Saccharomyces cerevisiae S288C: one gene and its partner. Changing the gene in region 2 together with the main gene of any one other region gives a genetic interaction. Each region holds a gene or a part of one and is shown on either strand. Other genes may lie near its edges.

Evidence for each region.
Region 1: mutations in MTR2 (region 2) and BUD20 are lethal when combined (synthetic lethality), as found in Saccharomyces cerevisiae (2 studies listed by BioGRID).

The regions. Positions count from the first base shown.
Region 1 is NC_001144.5:279,879-285,449, reverse strand, and holds BUD20 (Bud20p), read left to right. Parts: upstream 1-2,993; coding exon 2,994-3,494; downstream 3,495-5,571. Other genes in the region: FMP25 (Fmp25p), read right to left, coding at 1-1,578; 60S ribosomal protein uL16 RPL10, read right to left, coding at 1,858-2,523; RFU1 (Rfu1p), read left to right, coding at 3,829-4,431; LAM6 (Lam6p), read right to left, coding at 4,507-5,571. UniProt on the Saccharomyces cerevisiae protein: Involved in pre-60S ribosomal particles maturation by promoting the nuclear export of the 60S ribosome. Involved in positioning the proximal bud pole signal.
Region 2 is NC_001143.9:90,345-96,183, forward strand, and holds MTR2 (Mtr2p), read right to left. Parts: upstream 2,955-5,839; coding exon 2,400-2,954; downstream 1-2,399. Other genes in the region: FAT3 (Fat3p), read right to left, coding at 1-1,192; DNA-binding transcription repressor ASH1, read left to right, coding at 4,155-5,839. UniProt on the Saccharomyces cerevisiae protein: Affects mRNA transport from the nucleus to the cytoplasm.

The DNA of each region.
Region 1 (5,571 bases), on a different chromosome or scaffold from region 2:
TAGTTGGCCATGGTCGTTATTACCCCATGCAATGACCTCGTTTTCTTGTTCAGTTTCAGTGAACACACAATGAGAGCCGCAACTCCAGTTGGTCAATTTCTTGTCATCCGACTTGATTTTTATGGGATCACATTGCGAGTTCTTGAAAGTGTTGTTGCCCAATTCACCAAAAAGTCCATTACCAAACGCGAAATAATGATGGTCTGACGTTGAGCCAGGCTTACGAATGGTCACAAACGATGTTTCATCATCACAATGAATATCCACACATTTCCAATTCGTCATCCCCGGGAAATGCGGTTTAAATGCATGCGTTACCGATCTTGGGAAAGAAACATATTCTAGATTGTACGAAATAGGTAGTGCCAATTGGCCGAACCTATTCCAGCCAAAGGCATAAATTTCACCAGTCTTATCTATTGCCAGTGTATGGTACGACCCGCAAGCTATCTTTTTAATTTCTCTTTTGCGGACAACGTCTTCTCCTTCATGCTTAAATTTGTTCAGCAGTTCAATTTCGAATAGTTGATTATTGGGAGGAAACTCATCGAATTGTGAGAATGTTGGTATACCGAATTGTCCTTTGGATACTTGAGCTTGTTTTTGATCATTTCCCGTCGCGCAGCAATAAGCCTTACCTAAATTAGATAGCAACACCAGATGATGGCTACCAGCGTCAAATTGTACTACACGTTTTTCTCCTTCCTTACCGTTGAAAATCTGATTTGTTTGTAATTTCCAATCATATCTTAGTTTTGTCTTCCATGGCAACAATTTCGACCTTCTTGATGATACTTGCGAAGCTATCAGATCCGGCGTTCTTATAGGTATGACCAATATTTCACCCTTTTTATTCAAAGCGTACAAAAAGTGACTAGAATACTTCATTGAGGTCAAATCTTGATCTGGCAATATCGTTTTTGTTTGTCCCAAATCATCCCACGATATCAAATCGCCTTTCTCGTCAATTGCAAAATTGGTGTTGAAATCGTCAGAGGGAGCTAATAGGATATCTCTGAATTTACGACCATCCAAATTAGGTACTCTAACAGGGAACAATGAGTCCTTAGAATGACACCTTCCCCATATGTATACACCAGGATGATCTATTCCAAGTTGAAAGGCAGGCACTTGAGGAATCTCCCTTAATAGATTTTTGGCCTTTTGTCTGATCAATTTTTCCAACGAATCCTGTCCACTTTGCTCTTGCGTTGCATTTATGCGACCGCCATTCATCTTGATTAACCACCAGGATTTTAATTCTGGCCAACGCAAGTAGGCCGTTCCCAACCCACCCACTACCACGAGAATGAGGATCCCTTGCCCAACAGCAGATAATTTCGCCATCCTTTCCCATTGGAGTTCAGATTCCTTTGTGATCTGATCAGGAGACTTCTCAGGCCATTGGAAATGCTCGTCTGATGGCCTTTTCTTTGCTTTATATGCGCCATGGTTAATGTTCTCTGCAAACAACTCTGCTTCATCGTATTGAGGTTGTTTGGCGTATCGCCTGATGGGACTAACCCAGTTAAGGCGAGGGAGACGTTGAGAAGTCCTCGTGAATAATCTGAATGACATTAGCGGCGCACGTCCCTGTTATCGATTGCTCCCTTTCTTGTTAGACGCATTCAACAATTCTTCGTTACTGCAGCTCAGGCTTTTTTTTTTCCTGCTGGTATACAAAAAGCAACAGTGTCCATTGACTTCAGGATATATCACTACCCAACATGCTGAACTTTAAAAAAACACATAATTATATGTATTACAATAATGTATAAATATATTTACTGTTTAATAAACTAGAATTTAAATCAAAAAAATTTCTCTTTTAAGTTAGTTCAAATGTTTGAAAAGAACTTAAGCTTGAGCAGCAAAGTATTCTGGGAATTCTCTGATGTTGTTTTCCAAAGAACCCTTCTTGGACAAGAACTTAACGAAAGCACCGTCGTCCTTGACTTCACCAGCTTCTCTCTTCTTCAAGTATTCTGGTCTGTCCAAGTTGGTGAAACCCCACTTCTTAGACAAAATAATCTTTTGTTGACCTGGGAACTTGTATCTGGCTCTTCTCAAACCTTCAACGACAACATCCTTGTTGCTGTCCTTGGTTCTGACAGAGAAGATAATTTGACCAATGTCGACACGAGCGGCCAAACCGTGTGGCTTACCCCAAGCACCTCTCATACCTTGTTGCAATCTATCCGCACCGGCACAAGACAACATCTTGTTGATTCTCAAGACATGGAAAGGATGGACTCTGACTCTTAAGTGGAAAGCATCTCTACCGGAGACAGTAGTCATGTACTTGTTGGCACAGATACGAGCAGCTTCCAAAGCTTCAGAAGACAATTGTTCCAATTCGTTGGAAACCAAATGGACACACAATGGGAATTCATCGACGGTAGCCTTCTTCTTACCCAAATCGTAGATTCTGATCTTGGAGTCTGGAACAGCTCTGTTGTATCTAGACTTTGGGTAAGGCTTGTTCTTTTGGTATCTGTAACATCTAGCTGGTCTTCTAGCCATCTTGAATTAGTTATTTGATATACTGTACTTTAAAGTTTGAAAGTCCCACTCCAAAAGCACTTGCGGAAAGGATGTATAAATGGTTGCTCCACATCAACATCTTTTTATAAACTATTCTCTAGAGAAACCAAACTGACCATCAATTCTGAGATGAAAAGTTTCCTTAGTCAGCATTATTGTGCTAACTAGTTTCGGAGGGAAAAATATCGAAAAAAAAAAACCAAAAAAAAAAATAAAAAAAATGTACGGAGGGAAAAGATGTACAGGTGTAAAAAAGCACCCCACGGAAATAACCGCTACTATAATTTCATTTCTTTTTTTTCTATATCCTGCGGAAAATTTTTTTATACTGACAGGGGAAAAAGCAAATTAATTTTGCTTTTATATATGGAAAGTAGCGGGAGATGAGATGAGGTGAATTGAAAGGCAGTTAAACACACAGACAAGTGAAGATAAAACAATAGCGCATCATGGGTAGATATTCGGTGAAGAGATACAAGACTAAAAGAAGAACACGAGACTTGGACCTGATCTATAACGATTTGTCCACCAAGGAATCAGTACAGAAGCTTCTGAACCAGCCATTGGATGAAACCAAACCGGGCCTTGGTCAGCACTATTGCATACACTGTGCCAAATACATGGAGACTGCTATAGCGTTAAAAACGCATTTAAAGGGCAAAGTGCACAAAAGAAGAGTCAAGGAGTTGAGGGGTGTCCCTTACACACAAGAAGTCTCTGATGCTGCTGCGGGCTACAATTTGAACAAGTTCTTGAACCGTGTACAGGAGATCACGCAATCGGTGGGTCCGGAGAAGGAAAGTAATGAGGCCTTGCTGAAGGAGCATTTGGACAGTACCTTGGCAAACGTCAAAACAACAGAACCTACTCTACCGTGGGCGGCTGCTGATGCCGAGGCGAATACCGCTGCCGTAACAGAGGCAGAGTCTACTGCCTCAGCCAGTACTTAACAGTAAAGTAAAGATCAGAACCAAAAATAGGCATATACACTTTTTATAGTATAACACACTTCCAGTCAACTCGAATCGCTTTTGCCGCGAAACGCAATGAAAAAAAGTACGCAACAAAGAGAAATAATGAAAAAAAAAAGAAAAAATTTTTTCATTGCTAGGCGATGAGCATCGACAGTTTTATACGTAAATCAATGGTTAGATAGATAATATTAATAACATACAAGACAATTTTTGCTTCGATTAAAGTGTTGGCACGAATTATTGTTGCGGTTCACCAACCACTATACATTTTTTCTCTTCCTTCCGCATCTTTATCTGGCCCCGGTAGGTCATGAAGTCTAGTAAGCAATTGGTTCAGGACGCTAAGGATTATCGCTTCAATCCGGCGATACCATTGAGAATTTACCTGAAAACATGCATCGGCATATTGGAAAAGGCACAGTGTGCGTTCCAGGCCAACGACTTGTCGCTGTCGTTTATTTATTATTTTAGATATGTGGATTTATTGACTAACAAACTATCTAGACACCCTGAGCTTTTGCGCATGGATGCGTCGTCGTCATCGTCGTCATCGTATATTCATAAAAGAGAATACCTGCAACTCATAAAGTTGGAAGTGCCTGCGGTCTGCAAAATTATTGAAAGCTTACGCACCCAAATTGATTCTCAATACAGCAAATTGCAAACATCACTCGCTAATAATATAGCCAAGCCGAACATAAACGCAAACACAACTCCCGTGCAGGTGGAGCAACAACCACTGCCGAAGAAATCTTTCGACGAGTATAGCTTCAACCAATCAATTTCTTTTTTCCAGAAAATTTCAAACGCACAACTTAATACCGGAGCAAGCTCTCAGAGTCAGGCCACTGCCCGTGATGAAGCCTACAGACTGAATTATCCGGAGCTACCACGCCTTACATTCTCCACATAGCATCCTTTTTTTTTTTTTTTTTCCATACCATACGAACATACATAACCTTACATACAATATTACATGATTACTCTGTTACAACACGTCTCCCCTTCTTGGTCTTGACCATTGTACTTTGGCTGGTATGTCCAATAGAGTCGCGTGCGCTACAACTTCGTCCTTGTGGGTCATGAGGTTCGTCAGCTTATCCATCTTCTTGTTCAACTTCATTAAATACAGCAGATTTAACACCAAGAGCACCAAGATTATTATGTTCACCCAGTTAAACCTCCATCTGTCGCTGCCTATTTCTGAGATTTCCGCCTCAGCTTCTGGTTTCGACTCCGGCTGTACCATCGTCAGCTCCGGTGCTGCCACTTTCCTAGGTGATCCAAAAGATGTAACACTGGGCAACGGCTTGAGTGTATCTGCTTTTTCTTTGCTCAATTCCACGTATTTCTCTACAAATTCTTCGACTAACTTTACCAAGTCCTTAGTGGCGCTAATTTGTCCATTTTTACAATTGCTCTCTACCATTGGCTTGATCCAACTGGATGCGTTCCAGTCCACCCAAAAACTTATTTTTAATATGCAACCTTGCCCCTGGTCATCCCATCGGAACATGTACCTCGTTCTGGTGCTGAAACTGGTACCACTAGGAACATTTGGTGTTCTTGTTATACTTAAAACATTTATGTACCTTTCCCAGTCGCAGTGTAAAAGAATTTCCGCTACCTCACAGTTTGTGGATTTGGGCCCCACAGGGAAATGCAGCTGTTTGGTGTATTGGAATTCTCTGTAATGTTGTCCATCTTTATTGACTTTTTCAAAAGTCCCTATGTGTGAGATGTTGGACGAATCTTGAGTTTTCAAAAAGCTTAACTCAAAAACTGGATTATCTTCATTGAACATCATAATGAAAAGTAGGCCGGGTGGAACGCTGAATTGACGTTCCAGAAGCACGTATTCATTATTAGCCTCAGGTTTATAAGGAAAGTCCATGGTTTCTTGTACATGGAATGGCCCCTCATATTGAAATGGTGCGTTTGGCTTTAACCTATATACGGGCCTACAATAATAAGTTGTTGAAGAGCCTAAAGACGATGACGACGATGACGACGAAGATGAAGAAGATGGCGATGCTCTTGGTGTGCCCATGTA
Region 2 (5,839 bases):
ATGGAATGTACTGTACGGAGCTTGAATTACCGGATAGGCCCGATTGTAATTCGGACAAGATGGACAAAGTTTCGTTGGTGTTACTCGAGGAGCTTATCACATCATCTAATCCAATTAGCTGTTGAGTAGATTGAGTTGTATTTGTCACCGCAGCTAGAGATTGGACCGAAGTGACAACCATTGTCGAGTTGTCCGAATTTTCCATCAATTGGGTTAAGGCAGCAAACGCCTTTTTTGCAGATGATGACTGAGTGAGGTTTTGTTCCAGCAAATCAGATAGAGTGCTCAATGTCTGATTTGTAGAGGTGGTCTGGTTTAGCAGCAATTCCACTGCATCAAATGCGGGGGCGCTTGCCTGCGGCACTAGTGGTTGCAAAGTACTAAACGTGTTATTTAGGGAACCTCCGTTTGAAATTGTGTTTTGTAACTGAGTTAATAGTGTTTGGGCTAAAGAAGATGAAATAGTAGTGTTCATCAAGGTCGCCAGAGCCGTCATTGTAGCTGTTTGGTTCGTGGAGAAAGCGAATAGCCTGAATACCGGTAACAATTGCGCCTTTTCTGACATTGTCAGATTATTCAGAGTTAGCAATGCATCTGTGGAATTCTGTGGGTTATCGGAGTCTTTTAATAAGTCCAGAACCAAAGTAGTTGAGTCACTGGAAGAGTTAGAGCTTGCGGAAGACAGCGAAGCAGAAACTAACCTTGAGAGGCCATCTAGTGTTTCAGTTGCGTTGTCTGAATACTTCAGCAGCCCATTAATCTCTGTCAACTGCCTCGTGCTAGAAGCAGGATTGCCGCTGATCGCTAAGGGAGCCAATTCGGTCAATGATTCGATGGTTACTGTGGTGTTGTCAGCATTAGACAAAAGCGTCAATAGCGGCGTCAGCGCGGGAGTATCAGCAATATTTTTCATGGCGCCAAAAATATCATCCAAGGAGCTGTTCGGAGCCGTCAAAGCGGACCCTAATATTGTCAAAATAGGGCCTATCTGCGGGATCACCTTGCTTACATTGATGTGTTTGATATCGGCTTCACCGATGTATATATTCGTTAAGGGTTTGTAGTTGGCGGTGGAGCCAGCAGTGGCTACAATAACCAATATCAGTGTGGTGAACATGAATAAAAGGCACACAGACAATATCGTCCAAATAATTCCCTTCGACAGGGGGGTACGGTGCTTTTCGATCCTCATGTTTTTGTTGTTTTCTTTGCTTTCCTAACTCTTCGTATGAGGATTTTCGATGGAGCAGGATGAGGAGAAATAGTACCACATGTATATATCCATTACAAAAAGGTTTATATACAATTACAATAGACCCTTGTTGGGGTTTCTGAAAAAAGAAGTAGTCGATGCCATCGGCAATAATACGGAATTACGAGAAACACAATCCCGATCCTTTTTTGGGTAATTACTTCACCGATTCTACCGATTTATCATGCCAAAAAAAATTCACCGTGGGTTCTAGAAGTGCCCTTTGAGGATTGTAGCCACTCTAACCCACACGGCCTCCTTACTAGCTGACTAAGGTGACAAAACCGCAAGGACTGGAAAGTCGCCACTCATCTGAAAATTCTCAAGTTTTTCACTACTGAGTTTATGCTTTCGAATTTTTTTGTTCGGTAATAGCACGGCGGTTCGATTCAATTCCGCCGCTCCGAGCGATGCTCCGCAAAACTCAGTAATAAGCTTTCTGATGGTTCACCCCTTTTTTAGCACGCGGGGTGTAACTCAACAGAAAAATGTGCCATAGAACAAGACTAGGCAAAAGCCAAGGAGCGTTTGCCATGAACTTCCACAAGTAAAGCTCGTTGACCAGTTGATCAGTTGAGGGGGGTACACACGACTAGCGCTTTCAGATATTAAAAAGTTTAGATGTAGGTTTTAGCGGTAACAGTTATATAAATCGTGTTTCTTCTCTTGATGAAACAAAAAAATGCTAGAAAAACTTTGTCGTTTCTTACTTTTGGTGCGCTTTGCAGTTTTCGTGGCTAGACTTAGAATCATTTCTCCTCAGATTTCTTGATTAAAGTTTGGTGCGAAGCCCTACTCTAACATTGGTGTTCTTCTTTTCATTCACGCAAGTTAAGTCCAGGAAGGTGAGCAAATGCTCATCCTTCTGTTCATGCGTGACGGCTGAATTATCCTTATCTGGCGTACCCGTGCAGCCGTTTCCGTGCCTCGGTTCCTCCGAGATATCCTTAGGGACCGCCAGGGACCATGATTGCGTCAACTGTTGTCACCGCTCCAGAGGATCCTCTGTAACCTTTTCAACCATAAAAATAGAAAGGGCACAGGGTTGGGGTATTTGAATTTTTTTTTTGGGTTTTTTCGTATTACTTATTACTTACCTTCTTTTCTATATAATTTTGTTTTTCCCTGGTAGAGCGGAATCTTCCCACTAAATTTTTAGCAGAGAATCCTCGGGTTTGTAAACCATGTTATAGTTAAACCCCGATATTACACCATTAAAATCATTTCTAAATATGCGGTCGTCGATGATCAGCTGCAGGGAAATGCCAAAATATGGACCCCATAGAGGTCTTGGCTTGTTCATATCGTTGGGTCGATTTCTGTTCCCAGTGTTATTTGGTTGAATGGGAACAGTCGCGTCTTGCCCCATCTTGTCTCTGCCGCTTTCGTCGAATCTGACTTTGCAATTGACGTTGCATATCAACGTGCCGGATCCCGGAATAGCGTGATAGTCTACTCCTGTTAGGGCATGTTGTGTTTGTACGACCTGGTTTTGCCACATTTGCAGAAAAACTGTTGCTTGCGCGAAGGGGGTAGCATTAAATATTATTCTGCAGTTGTTTGGATTAAAAAGCTGTACGAATTGGGCCAATTTGTTGGAGTCCGGATCATCCAAATGCGCTAATATCTTCTTCGTAAATGTGGCCGTTATTTGTGCTTGATTTGCGTCATTCATTACCATAGTATTACTATTGGTGTTCATATTTCTGTTATTACTGTTATTAGTTTGGCGTTTTGCCTGACGATCAGCCTGGTGGGGCCAAGTATATACTATAAAAACAGGTTAGTTACTTGCTCTATGCGTTTGCGCATCCTCTTTTTACTTTTTTTTTTTCAGTAAAGCCTAAGCATAAATCGTTTTATACGTACGACACGTTCAACTTTTCTTGGTTAGTAGTGGCAATCTCTGCAATACATACAGGGAGTCATGGTCTATCATCTTGTCCAATCAAAGAAGCATCGGTTCAGATCGAGCAAACTGTAGGGAGAAAGGAAAGTAGAAATGCAGAGTGTGCTATATGTCCAATCTCGGTTTTGTAGTTTGGATGTCATTAGAGATCTACCACCCAACCGGCTGCTTTCATGTGGAACAGAAAAGAAATCGGGGCGCTTCCTCTTCTGTATTCCTTTAATTAACGTTTTTATTCAGCCATCTAACCATCATACCCCCATACGGTAACAAAACCTCTTCTAAGAAAAGAAGTCTCTGCTCCTCCGCCATCTTATTTTTATTCGCTGCGCGCGTTTATTGTCGCATCGCTAGCCAGCAAAAAGTTGGTTGCCTTTTTTTACCTAAAAAAGACACATCTAACTGATTAGTTTTCCGTTTTAGGATATTGACGCCAAGCGTGCGTCTGATTTCTACGATATGTCTCTAATTTTGGAAGGGCCATTTTATTTTTGAGGATTGGGCTGATCATTTTCCTTACGTGGATTGAGCCAGCAATACAGATCATTATTAAACTGTTTTGTACATGATGTTAGTATATAATCGTAAAGCTTTTCTAATATGTATACCTTATACATGGAACTCCACAGAACTTGCAAACATACCAAAAATCCTTTATTCTTGTTCACTCATTTTACATCAAAAAATAATATTTCAGTTATTAAGGAAAATAAAAAAATAGATTAGAGAAGCATTTTGAAGAAATAGTATATTCTTTTATTGAACCTAAGAGCGTGATATTTTTACTCGAAATAAAATACGAAAAATCTATACACTCATCTTTCCGACTACTATTGGCTCCTGCTCAAAAAAAGAGGGAAAAAAAGCTCCAAAATTCTATCTTTTCCTATCGCTCCTGTCCTATCCTTATTACGTTCATTACTATTTTAATACTATCCATTCTTTTATTTTCAGTCTAAAAAAAACATTTCTCATAACGGGAAAAGCAAAAAAATGTCAAGCTTATACATCAAAACACCACTGCATGCATTATCTGCTGGTCCGGATTCTCATGCAAATAGCTCCTATTATGACAATCTTTTATTGCCTTCATTTTCCAATTTATCCAGTAATATCAGCAGGAACAATATCACAACCGATAACAATATAAATTCAGCAAGTCCTAGGAAGTATTCGTTTCATTCGCTCAATGTGTCGCCAATTCTTTCCCCAATATCTTTGGCTAACGAAATACTTGGAAAAAAATCAAATACTGCACCAGCATCGCCACATCATATGGATTACAATCCAATTTCCTCATTAACACCAGGCAATTCACCAGAATTCAACAAGGCAAGCTTATCTCAGATTAGTTTTACAAATCCATTGAACTATGGGTCTGGCTTAGGTTTTTCCTCTAATTCACAACCTCGACTACCATTGTTAGACAGGCTATCGTCCGTCTCTTTATCTAAGAGACCGGAGCGCCCACAACAAAGCCTACCATCACTAAGGCATCTGCAATTATTACCCAGTCCTCTTTTACAAGAAAACGCAGCACGCTTCCCTGATACATCAAAACGTACATCTAATTGGAAAACTGATCTTACCCATTGGTGTAAGGATACAAACTATCAAGACTATGTTAAAATACGCGAAGAAGTGGCTCATTTCAAGCCATTAAGTATACCCAACTTAACTAATAATCAAAATAATGATAGTTTCAATTACGGCAAGGAATTGGAATCGACTAGGTCGTCCAAGTTCCATTCCCCGTCTAAGGAATCATTTGATCGTACCAAACTAATTCCTTCGATTCTAGAAGCTAAAGATCAATTTAAAGATCTTTCCAACAATGCATGGAGTATTACTCCTCCCGTCACACCGCCGATGAGTCCACCAACCAATAGAACCATGGAGCGCACGACGCTTAGAGGAGTAGAGGCCTCTTTTTTTGAGGGGAAATCCAGCAATAACGATTCAATATTCAATCCAATTATTAGTGAAAAATTGGTTCAAGAAGTTAAACATCAAAGACAATTACGTGGAAATTCATTTCCCATGCCAAATGCCAGTCACAAAAAGACGAACAGTTTCAAAGCTTTGCAAATAAAAAAATTGCTTGCGAATAGAGACATTCTATCGAACAATTCCAAATCTAATGTAAGGAAACCATCTAAGAACAAAATCTCAAAGCAAGCATCAAATGTTTTCGGTAACACTGCAAGACAATTGGTGATGAAACTCGACAACGCTAGTTACAGTTCTGTCTCTGCATCTTCATCTCCATCTCCCTCCACACCGACGAAAAGTGGCAAGATGAGATCAAGATCATCCTCACCTGTGCGTCCCAAGGCATACACTCCAAGCCCAAGGTCACCCAATTATCATAGATTTGCTCTCGACTCTCCCCCTCAAAGCCCTCGAAGATCATCAAATTCAAGCATAACGAAAAAGGGAAGTAGAAGGTCCAGTGGCTCATCACCCACTCGTCACACCACAAGAGTGTGCGTGTCGTGTCATTCGAGTGATTCGCCCTGTTGGAGGCCATCGTGGTCGCCAAGAAAGCAAGATCAGCTATGTAACTCTTGTGGTCTTCGATATAAAAAAACACATACAAGATGTTTGAACGATTTATGTCGTAAGATCCCCACAAAGGGTGAAATAAACATTATGAAATCCAATGGAATAGACAAAGA